Linked DNA regions of Canis lupus familiaris. The protein of the gene in region 3 purifies or fractionates together with the protein of the main gene of each other region. This does not show direct contact. Links are inferred from orthologs where the notes say so. Each region holds a gene or a part of one and is shown on either strand. Other genes may lie near its edges. The genes, in order: SNTB2, SNTB1 and ADRA1D.

The links.
Region 1: the proteins of ADRA1D (region 3) and SNTB2 purify together in Homo sapiens (tandem affinity purification; 4 studies listed by BioGRID and IntAct, with this or other methods). This does not show direct contact. The link is inferred for Canis lupus familiaris from reciprocal best matches to the Homo sapiens genes ADRA1D and SNTB2.
Region 2: the proteins of ADRA1D (region 3) and SNTB1 purify together in Homo sapiens (tandem affinity purification; 4 studies listed by BioGRID and IntAct, with this or other methods). This does not show direct contact. The link is inferred for Canis lupus familiaris from reciprocal best matches to the Homo sapiens genes ADRA1D and SNTB1.

Annotation. Positions count from the first base shown.
Region 1 is NC_049226.1:80,985,561-80,989,209, reverse strand, and holds part of SNTB2 (beta-2-syntrophin), read left to right. Parts: intron 1-524; coding exon 525-738; intron 739-3,649. UniProt on the Homo sapiens protein: Adapter protein that binds to and probably organizes the subcellular localization of a variety of membrane proteins. May link various receptors to the actin cytoskeleton and the dystrophin glycoprotein complex.
Region 2 is NC_049234.1:20,013,857-20,017,605, reverse strand, and holds the start of SNTB1 (beta-1-syntrophin), read left to right. Parts: upstream 1-1,097; 5' UTR 1,098-1,112; coding exon 1,113-1,659; intron 1,660-3,749. UniProt on the Homo sapiens protein: Adapter protein that binds to and probably organizes the subcellular localization of a variety of membrane proteins. May link various receptors to the actin cytoskeleton and the dystrophin glycoprotein complex.
Region 3 is NC_049245.1:17,682,815-17,686,157, reverse strand, and holds part of ADRA1D (alpha-1D adrenergic receptor), read right to left. Parts: intron 2,795-3,343; coding exon 2,199-2,794; 3' UTR 1-2,198. UniProt on the Homo sapiens protein: This alpha-adrenergic receptor mediates its effect through the influx of extracellular calcium.

The DNA.
Region 1 (3,649 bases), on a different chromosome or scaffold from region 3:
GCCACCCAGGCGTCTCCATTTGTTTCTTTAACTCATTTTCAAACATATATTGAGCACACACTGTACTATGTGTTGGATACTAAGACTGAATCCATCATAAGTCCTGCCCTCAAAGAACTCAGACCCAGCAGGTGGATGGAAGTATTAGCAAAGGATACAACCCAGGGTGCTGAGAGGTTGTGACAGAGGTGTGTTGGTAATACCCTGGGGAGAGTTGACAGGAAAGGTTGCTGAAGAGGTAACTCTGAAGTAGAGTTGACCAGGCAGAGAAAGAGGAATCCTAAGCAGAAGGAAAAATACATGCAAAAGCTCAGAAGTTAAACTTTTTAGAATATAGTAGTGGCATTTCGTTTGGATTATATAGCCTTTAAGATATTCTCCAATCCTAAAATGCTGTGTGCTGGCTCTTTAACTTAGTGTCTTTTTTTACTGACCAACAGATATTAAATGTATGTGTGTATTTCAGTTGTCATTGTTCATAGGAAGCAAAAACAGTAACCTTCTTCTTTGATTTTTGTTTGTAGTCAAGTTCATCCGAGAAGTAACACCATATATCAAGAAACCATCATTAGTATCAGATCTACCTTGGGAAGGTGCATCTCCGCAGTCACCAAGCTTTAGTGGCAGTGAGGACTCTGGTTCTCCAAAACACCAGAACAGCACCAAGGACAGGAAGGTCATCCCTCTCAAAATGTGCTTTGCTGCTAGAAACCTAAGCATGCCGGATCTGGAAAACAGGTGAGCTGTACCTAAAGGGAGAATATCGTACTCACAGCTTTACAAACTTAGGGACATGTTGCAATATTACTCATGCATATTATTAATAATATGACTGTTGACAACATTATGCAGAGGAAAACATCAGCCTAAGATGAGAGAATAATTTTGGGGGTTCCATATATATCTTTTTTTTAAAAAGATTTTATTTCTTTATTCATAAGAGAGATAGAGAAAGAGGCAGAGACATAGGCAGAAGGAGAAGCAGGCTCTCTGTGGGGAGCCCGATGCGGGACTCGATCCTGGGATCATGACCTGAGTCAAAGGCAGACGCTCAACCACTGAGCCACTGAGGTGACCCTGGAGTTCCATATTTAAATTACTTTACACATACATGTACATATACATATATGGAAAAATTTGGGACAAACACACAGGAAACTTCATGGTGGTTCCTCCAGGGAGTAAAATAAGATTAGAAGGGTAGGGCAGCCCAGGTGGCTCAGCGGTTTAGCTCCACCTTCAGCTCAGGGCGTGATCATGGAGACCCGGGATCGAGTCCCACATCTGGCTCCCTGCATGAAGCCTGCTTCTCCCTCTGCCTGTCTCTGCCTCTCTCTTTCTCTCCCTGTGTCACTCATGAATGAATGAATGAATGAATGAATCAATCAATCAATCAATCAAATAGATTAGAAGGGTAGAGGGACTTCTCTTAATTTCACACTTTTCTGGAGTATTAGTACTTTTCTCACTCTGAATTTAATTCATAATTTTAAAAACCTTGTTAAATTGTAAATATCTCCTCAGATGGAAACTCCTTATATTGTGGATAATGTAGAGTCTGAGATCTGATTATAGATATGGCTGCCTCAGCTAGCAATGTGACCCTGGCAACTTGACATCTCTTGACTTGAGTGTCCTTATTTGTAAATAGAGAGAGTTGATTTTGAATAATTTCTAGTGTCCCTTGCATAGTTCTATAACCATTCAGGTTCTGTGACTTTGTCTTCAGTGATTCTGTGAGGTGATACTGGTAAACCTAGTGTTCGGTTAGAGATTAGGGGGAAAAAAGAGACAGAGAAACTTATCCAAAGACCTAGTTAAGCACCAGACTTTATATAATGTACTTTCAGTTTTATGGTCTCTTCTGATCTGAATGTATAGCCAAATACCCAATCAGGATGGGATGGATACAAGAAGACAGCAGGAAGCTCAGTGACCTTGGGCATTTTTTTGAAGATTTTTTATTTATTTGAAAGATAGAGAATGCATGAACAGGGGAAGCCAGGAGCCTGATGAGGGACCCAATCCCAGGACCCCAGGGTCATGACCCAAGCTGAAGGCAGATGCTTAATGAGCCACCCAGGTGCCCCAACATTGGGGATTTTAGACCATGGGGACATTAAAAGTCCTGCTCTGTAATATATATTGTGTGTGGCATACTGGAAAGAGTTGAGCTCTGCAATCAGATAAACCTTCTTGTGGAAATCAGACAATCATGATTAGGGTGACCTGCTGAAAGGCTCTGAGCAAATCCTTTCACCTCCATAAACCACCATATCCTCATTTGTTTTTTTTTTAAAAAAGAATAATAATACTTAACTCAGTGTGCAGATTAAATGAGACAATAATAGGAACCCTTTGCACAGAGCCAGGTTCATTGTAGGTTCTTAAGAAAGAGTGACTTGCAATTAGTTAAGCATCTCCCTTCGGCTTGGGTCATGATCCTGGGGCCTGGGTTGAGCTCCAGGTTGGGCTCCCCACTCAGCGGGGAGCCTGCTTTTCCCTCTCTCGTTGCCCCTGCCCCTTGTTTGTGCTTTCTCTCTTGCTTGCTCTCTTTCAAATAAATAAATTTTTTTAAAAAGTTTTTTTTTTAAAGATTTTTATTTTATTTATTCATGAGAGACACAGAGAGAGTGAGAGAGACAGAGATACAGGCAGAGGGAGAAGCAGGCTCCATGCAGGAAGTCTGATGCGGGACTCGATCCCAGGACTCCAGGATCACGCCCTGGGCCAAAGGCAGGTGCTAAACTGCTGAGCCACCCAGGGATCCCCCCCAAAAAAATATTTTTTAAAGCGTAGCTTGAAGAAGTCTTAACTGCCAATTATGTTTACACATTTTGAAAATTATGTTCTGATATATTTGTATTGATCTTGTTTTCTTTCTTTTACAAGTTCAAGACATTATGGAAATTGTTTCAAGTTACATATAGATTTATTCATGAAAGATTGTGTGCATGTTAAATTATATCTAAATACAACAGAGCTTGGTCTTTAAAGAATTGCTTTTTTTTCATTAAGTAAGAATTTAATTTGCAAAGTAATCACTTCTAACTTTTAGATCAAAATTATTTTTTTTCTTCAAATGAAATGCATTTTTGGAGAGCTTTTGGTTAATTATGAACTTAAAAAAATTAGGAAAAAAAAATAAGGACCACAAAGAAGGAACTAGAATAGAGAAACAATGTGATAAAGAACAAACAGCAACTAAATTTGTCAACTGGTTGTCAGGCTGAGGAATTTTTTCAGGCTAAGTCTCTTCATTATAAATCATTTCTGAGAATGAGAATAGGTATCTCTTGTCGTAGTCTGTTGTGACTGCTGTAACAAAATATCATAGACTGGGTGGCTTATAAACAACAGAAATTGATTTTTCACAGTCCAAGAATAGGAAGGATAGAAGTCCAAGATGAGGTGCCAGCAGAATCCGTGTCTGGTGAGGGCCGGCTTCCTGATTCATAGATGGCTATCTTCTTGCTGTGTCCTCACATAGCGGAAGAGTCTAGAGAGCTCTCTGGGGTCTCTCTCTCTCTCTCTCTCTTTTTTTAAAGATTGATTGATTGATTGATTGATTGATTGATTTATTCACGAGAGACACAGACTGAGAGAGAGGCAGAGACACAGGTAGAGGGAGAAGCAGGCTCTTCGGAGG
Region 2 (3,749 bases), on a different chromosome or scaffold from region 3:
TAATAATACCGTCCCCCTGGAACAATGAGTAACTAGTAACTAGTCCAAACAAGTAAGGGAACTTTGCAGATACAGTCCACTGCCACCGAGTTCTCAAACGGTGGGACCTCCTACATTGGATTTTGGGAAGAAAGAGAAAGTCCCAGGAAACAACTGGAATGGCCCTGGGTGGGGTGGGGGCGGGGACCAGACAGAGACGCAGATTGCCTACGGAGTGTTGAAGCTGGGAAGGCGTCAGGTCCCGGGGTCTGGGGTCGGGGGCAGGCAGTGACCTGCTGAAAGCCACCGGCCAGCACACGCGCCTCTCCAGGGATCCGGAGGAAAGAAGTCCTGCCTGCATTTCGAGAGAGGAAGTTTCGGGCCCTCGGGCTATGCTGACGCTCCATCCTGAGCTCTCGGGACAGCCGTCCCTCTGGACTCTCGGAGAACCCGGGGCCTCCATCCGAGTCTACCTGGGAACCCCGGCGCGGAGGGGAGCCAGGTGAGGAAGAGCTCGGCGGGAGAAGCCAAGCCTCGGTTTGCGGAAGCCGGAGCGAGGAGGGTCTGGGTCTGGGTACGGCTGGGGCGTGGGGGGGGGGGGGCGGGACCCAGGGACAGTGGGGCGGGCTCCGGGGCGTGGAGCGCGGGCCCCAGGCAGGGCGAGGGGTCCGGGCCAAGGCGCGGCGTGGGCGCCCGCGGGGCGGGGAGGGGGCGGGGCCGGGGGTCGGAGCCGCGAGCGGCCGGAACAGGTGAGCGGCCGCCGGGCCCCGCCGGGCCCCCGCCCTCCCCGCGGGCGCGCCTCCTCCTCCCGACCCTCCGGGCGCCGAGCGCCGCCGCTCCCCTCCGTTGGCGCGTTTGCAACTGGCAGCTGGCTTTTTTTTTTTTTTTTTTTTTTCTTTCCCCTCCTTTCCCCTCCCCTGAGTGTGTCTCTCCTTCTTTTAGGTCGCTCCACCCCGCGCAGGATCCGGCGAGGGGGAGCGCGCGGCGGCGGCCACCTCGCGCCGGGCGCGCGTGCCAAGTCCCCGAGCGGCGCCCCGCGCCCGGCCCGCGCCCCGCGCCCGCGGCCTCCCCGCAGCCCGTGCCCACTCTTCCCCCCTTTGGCAATCGCACGGCGTTTTAAGAATGCCGGAAAGATGGCGGTAGCGGCGGCGGCGGCGGCGGGCCCGAGCGGCGGGGGAGGCGGCCGCGCGCCGCGGAGCGGGCCGCTGGAAGTTCTGGTGCGGGACCGCTGGCACAAAGTTCTGGTGAACTTGGGCGAGGACGCGCTGGTCCTGAGCTGCGAGGAGGGCGCCGCGGCGTCCAACGGCCTGGGCACCGCCACCAATGGCGCGTTCTGCAGGGGCGCGGGCGGCGCGCAGCCCCCCGACTCGCCGGCCGGGGTCCGCACCGCCTTCACCGACCTGCCCGAGCAGGTGCCCGAGGCCATCTCCAACCAGAAGCGCGGCGTGAAGGTGCTGAAGCAGGAGCTGGGCGGGCTGGGCATCAGCATCAAGGGAGGCAAGGAGAACAAGATGCCCATCCTCATCAGCAAGATCTTCAAGGGGCTGGCGGCCGACCAGACCCAGGCCCTGTACGTGGGCGACGCCATCCTGTCGGTGAACGGGGCCGACCTGCGGGACGCCACCCACGACGAGGCGGTGCAGGCGCTGAAGCGCGCGGGCAGGGAGGTGCTGCTGGAAGGTAGGGGCTCCCGCCGGCGGCCGCGCACACACCCCCTCGCACCCACCCACGTGCCCGCGCAGCCCCGGGGCCGGCGGCGGGGAGCTGGGACAGCTTTAGCCCCCCTGCCCCCGGGTCCCCAACCCAGGTCCCTGACCCCGCGCCCCTAACCCAGGTCCCTGACCCCGCGGCCCTAACCCGGGAGCTCTTGCAGGCCGGGACCCTGCAGGGGTGTGTGAAGGGGCAGGGCGAGCAGGCTTAGTGCACCGCGTGTCCTGTTTCCCCGCGGATAATCCGAGTGAGGCGTGGGGGCCGAGTGTAACCCGGGGCAGCCGTCCACGCGGCGGGGAGAGCCCACTGAATGAATAATCGCAACTCTGCTGCAGCTTCGTGCCTCGGCACTATGTTCTCAGAAGCCTGGGCGATCTGATTTAAAGGGTTCATTCAGTCCCCCCCAAAGAGGATGGAGAGGCGTGGCCGTGTGCGTGGACCCCCCCGCCCCCCAAGCCCCCTCATCCTCCCGGACTTCCCTCCTCGCAGACTGGAAACCCGGGTTATTACGCTGGGGGAGTTGTGCCAAGGGCTGGGGAAGTGTGCCGCAGCTTCATGCAGAAGTTGGTTCCCTTCTGGTGCCAGGTGTTTGGCCGGTCAGTCTGGATTCCAGGCTGCTCTGGCTGGAGGGTTGCTGAGGCAGTTTTTCTGCCTGGCCTCGTCCCGGGATTTTTCCTGAGTGGCGTGGAAACAGTTTCGCATTTGTAAACAGTTTCCCCTGAGTGGGAGGCTTCTTGGAAAGGACTCTCTTGAGATCCTATGTCCCCAATCCCCTAATTTTTCAAGGGAGTGGAATAGGTAGCCGAGTTGTTATAGCCTTTTGGGATTATGTGCTGTTAGGAGGGCAGAAGGGCAGTAGGGTATTAAGTGGATAATCATTCTCCTTTCCCACTACATCTTGTATCTCTTACTTGGTAACTGCCTCTCTGCCCCCATGGCTTGCTTCGTGCTAACCTCAGTTAGCACACATATCATGTAATTATTTTTGCCTATTTACTCAGCTTCCCCCTCACTGTAGATTGAGTTGCCTGGGGTCTTTTATTTAGTTATGGGTCATCTCCCTTGAGTTTCAGGGCTCAAGGATATGCATGACAAGTGAATAAATAAATGAGCCCATAGCCATGGTCGCACAGTATTTCAACCCAGATCTTGTAAACTGGTGGTTGATTTAAATCCGAAATTGAGGACTTAAAGTCAATTTCCTGCTCACCAGATGTGGTGCTGGTGTGTGAAACCGAGAAAGTTCAAAGTTGGAAAACCAGCTTTGTTACATGTGACAGCTGATGCAACTCTCTGGTACACGATCGTCCAGCTCCTGCCTAGAATACATAGGGTCCTCCCCCACACACTTTTATTTATCTAGAGGATTTGTGATGTCTTCATATTTAATAGCTACCCTGGATCCAGAAAGTGGAAGGCTATTTGCTTTGGCTTGATGATTAACATAAGTAAACAGAAAAAAGTTTTCTTGACTCGAGTGTGTGTGTTGGTTTGTGTGACAAGAGGCAGGTGGGATCTGCGGCAAGTTTAGTTTGGACTATAAACTGCTAGGCGCCTGCTTCGCTTGCAATATTTGCTATAAACTCTCAGGGGGGACAAAAGGCAGGCCATTTCTCTTTCAATTCGTTATGTCTTTTATGTCCTTCATTATGTCTTTTCTTCTCTTTGGTTTCAATTTAATGAATAATAACTTAGCAAAGAGATGAAAAAAAAAATCTCTCACCCAAAAAAAGAGGAAGGAAAGGTGACTCCCTGCAGTTGAAAATAAATTTAAAAGGAATCAGACAGTTATGTGACTTTACGGATGCAGCAACCTAAGAGTGAGTTTTGTAAAAACCTCTGATGTGACATTCTTGCAACACGCCATCCTGTGTTACGGGCAGGACCTCTGCGGGGAGGCCTGTGGGCCTCCTGGAAATGAGCCACCTGGGCTTGGGGGCAGCAGTCTTATTCCCAGCCAGAGTTTTCAGAGATCGACTGCAAATGAGAGAAGCCAGTAGAGGCCCCACTCAAAACAATGTCTCTTGCTCTGAGTTGAAGTGTTGGTCCTGAGTGCGTGC
Region 3 (3,343 bases):
TCTAGGCCACTCTGCGGCATTTGGACATGTCCTGACCCCAAGGTCAGCAACTCAGTGCTTTATCCATGATTAGAACTGGGTCCCTGGTGGTGGTGGGGGTCCCTGTGGCAGAGCCTCTTGGGGAGCTCTGTAGCTCCCCCTGATGTCCTGAAGGCATGGGGGTACAGGAGGTGACAGCTGTGTGCAGAGGGCCCCTGTGGCCAGGAGATGAGGGCTGAGGCTTGAACATGAGAGATGTTTTGCAGATTAATCATTGGGCCTAGAGAAAGTATTGGGCTAGCTGCCAGCTCCACCTGCCTGCACACCTACTGGGTTTTCCAGGGCAGGGAGGGCCCCCTAAAGTCCCCCTATGAACGTTCCCTCCCCAACCTGCTCCCTTATCCCCACTGTTGACCTCCTGTGGGCTCCACTGCCCTGGCATGTGGGAGCCCATGTTCGCCTGCTCAGAGACCTTCCCCTGCTGTTGGAACCTCTGCCCAGAAGCCCAATGTTCAGTTCTCTGATGAGGGGTCAGCCCCTTTGCTGACTCCTGATTTGAGGGATGGCCCCCACCTCTGTGAGAAGATAGCAAGGGCTGTCCTCCAGTGTCCCCAGCTTTAGGTGGCCAATGTCCTGTAAAGTGGGCCCTCTTTGGGGTGTACAGCATGTACCCAGAACCCGCCTTTAACTACCCTTCCTGTGCCTTGCGGGGATGCCAGGCCTAGAAGCTGATGTAGATCCACAGTATGAAATGTCTGCTCCTGAGCCCTGGTACTGGCTATCTTTTTACCTTATAAAATTGGAGAGGTCTAAAATCGTGGTTACCTTTCAAATAGACTACTTCCTCAGCACAGGATGGAAACTTTTGATTCAAACTACTGGTCCATGTTGGCCCCAGCAACTGGCTCTTCTAGTTTTAGAACATTCCCACTCCAGACACCCTGGGGTATTGCCTAACCAGCTTTCCACTGGACCACAGTTATCACCCCCACTCCGGCTGTATGTGTGTGGTTGATATTATCCAGCTGAAGACTGAATTACCTCAATCTCTTGAGTATGTGACAAGTGCTGGACATTTCACTCAAAGCTAACAGCACTATTCCTAAGTAGGTGTTCTCTCATACCATGTATGCTTGTCTACTTGGGCTTCTATATTTTTTCATGTAATGTGTTATCCATTTAACTGATGGCCATCTTCCTCACTGAGACCAAGAGCATCACAGATACATCTGGGGAGACTGACAAAATGAACATTTATGCTTATGATTACTGTTTGGTTCCCAAGACTCATCATATGAATTTTAAAAGCCAACAAAACCCCTAAGTCCTTTAAGGGTCATGCTAAAAGTCCCAGAGGAGAACAGCCATCCATTAAACAGATAGTTGGGTTGAAACTAGAAAGGTGAATGCAGACCTGACTATCCTCTTGTTGGGCTTTAGAACTTGAAGGAGTTTAGAAAAAAAAAAAAAAAAGTAGTTCTTTATGGGTTACAAGCTAAAGAGGGACAGTTTGCACAGTTTGGACAAAATAGAAGTACTCTTACCAATAAATATGTCTCAAAATGACAAAGCTCTCCCCATTTGATGGCTCCAGATCCTCGCAAGAAGTGATGGGCACAGGCACTATGTACAGAGTGTAAACAGTAAGGCCCTTGGGACATAATGAGGGGCAGGGCCAGGTGGTGGGGTATGCATGGAGGAGCCTCTGTAGTGGGGAGTGGGTCCATGGGTAAATACAACAGGCTTGTGGGATGGTCATCCAATCTGCCACCAAAGCTTGTTGGTGGCTGGGCTGGTCCACTGGGTTCCTCCAGTCGGCAGTAAGGAGAAGTTGTGTCCATTGAGAAGTCCCCCTGGTCCCACTGGCTTTTTCCCTAGGGGAGGCATTGGGGACAGCCAGGCAGGCCTGCCCCTCCTCTTGAGGCGGTCTGTCCAGGGTTCAAGGCATGGATGGGGCAGTGTTTCTCAAACAGGGATTGGGGGCAACAGGCCCCCCGGAACCCACAGCCCCTTCCTCCGAAAGGAAGAGCTCCAGGCACCTGTGTCGGGGAGGGAGGCCATAACTTTTTACCTTTCCAGGGCCCTACCCCGTAGCCTCAGTTTCTCAGGGAGGCCCGGGAGCAGCCCGGATCAGCGTCAAGCCAGCCTCGCTGGGCCCCCGCCGCGCCCTGCCGCACCTGCACCCGCCCCCGCCCGCAGCCCCCCCCCCCCCGCGGGCCTTAGATGTCGGTCTCCCGGAGGTTGCTGTAGTCGGCCAGCTCGTAGGCCTGGCCGGCGGCGCCCCCCGCCACGTCGTGGGGCACTCCGAGGGACACCGCCTCCACCTCCGCGCGCTGCGCGCTCCCGGCGCGGATCTTGTGCGACAGGCTGGAGACCTTGGCACGCAGCTGGGTGGTGGGTCTCCGGAACGGCCCGAGCAGCCTCCACTCGCGGAAGGCGCAGGGCGGCTTTCGACGGCCGGCGACGGGGCCCTGCGCCTCGGGCGCGCCGGGGGAGCCGGGGGAGCCGGGGGAGCCGGGCGCCGAGGGCGCGGTGAGGGCCAGCGGGGCCCCGGGGGGCGCGGCGCCGCGGCCGGCAGCGAGGTCGGGGCGCGGGCCGCCGCTGGAGCCCCGCCAGTGGTGGCCGTAGACGCGCCACAGGGGCCGGCGGCGCCGACGACGCCGACACTGGCAGCGCAGCAGGCGAAGGAAGGCGCGCTTGAACTCGCGGCTGGAGCAAGGGTAGATGAGCGGGTTCACGCAGCTGTTGAAGTAGCCGAGCCAGAAGATGACCTTGAAGACGCCCTCCGAGGGCTTCAGCTGCGGGAACAGGGAGCCTGCGGGGGGGGGGGGGGGGGGGGGGGGGTAGAGACCCACGCCTGTTAGATGCTCCAGGAGAGCGAGGCCCGGCAGCCCCCTGGGCGCAAAGTCCTCAACTAGGGGCTGGGCTGCCAGCTCGGGGCTCCCAACGTCTCTCTCCCCAAGGGGGTCCCTGATGAGGAAAAAATCATCATCTTCCGTTTTACTGACGTCTCCTTGATACTGAGCAGTTTCCCTGAATGACAGTGTAGGCAACAAACTCAAGTAGGAGGGAGAGGAAGCCCTATGCGGTCCCGGTTCTCCTAGCTCAAAACTGGTGCAAGATGGGCAGTTTCCTAGAATTCGACCTGACTCTCAGCAGTTCCTGCCAGGTATTTTCCTATCACATTCAGTTGCTGCAGATGCTCTGAAATACTGTCTGCTCCTATTTGGAAATGACAGTCATCAGAACCTACCACTAGATTCTCTTACTTAATGCCTTAACCTAGAAGCACATTCCTTACTAAGCCAGAGATTTCATTCACAAATGTTTTGGTGTTTTCAACGAAATCCGTTTTATTTGCAAT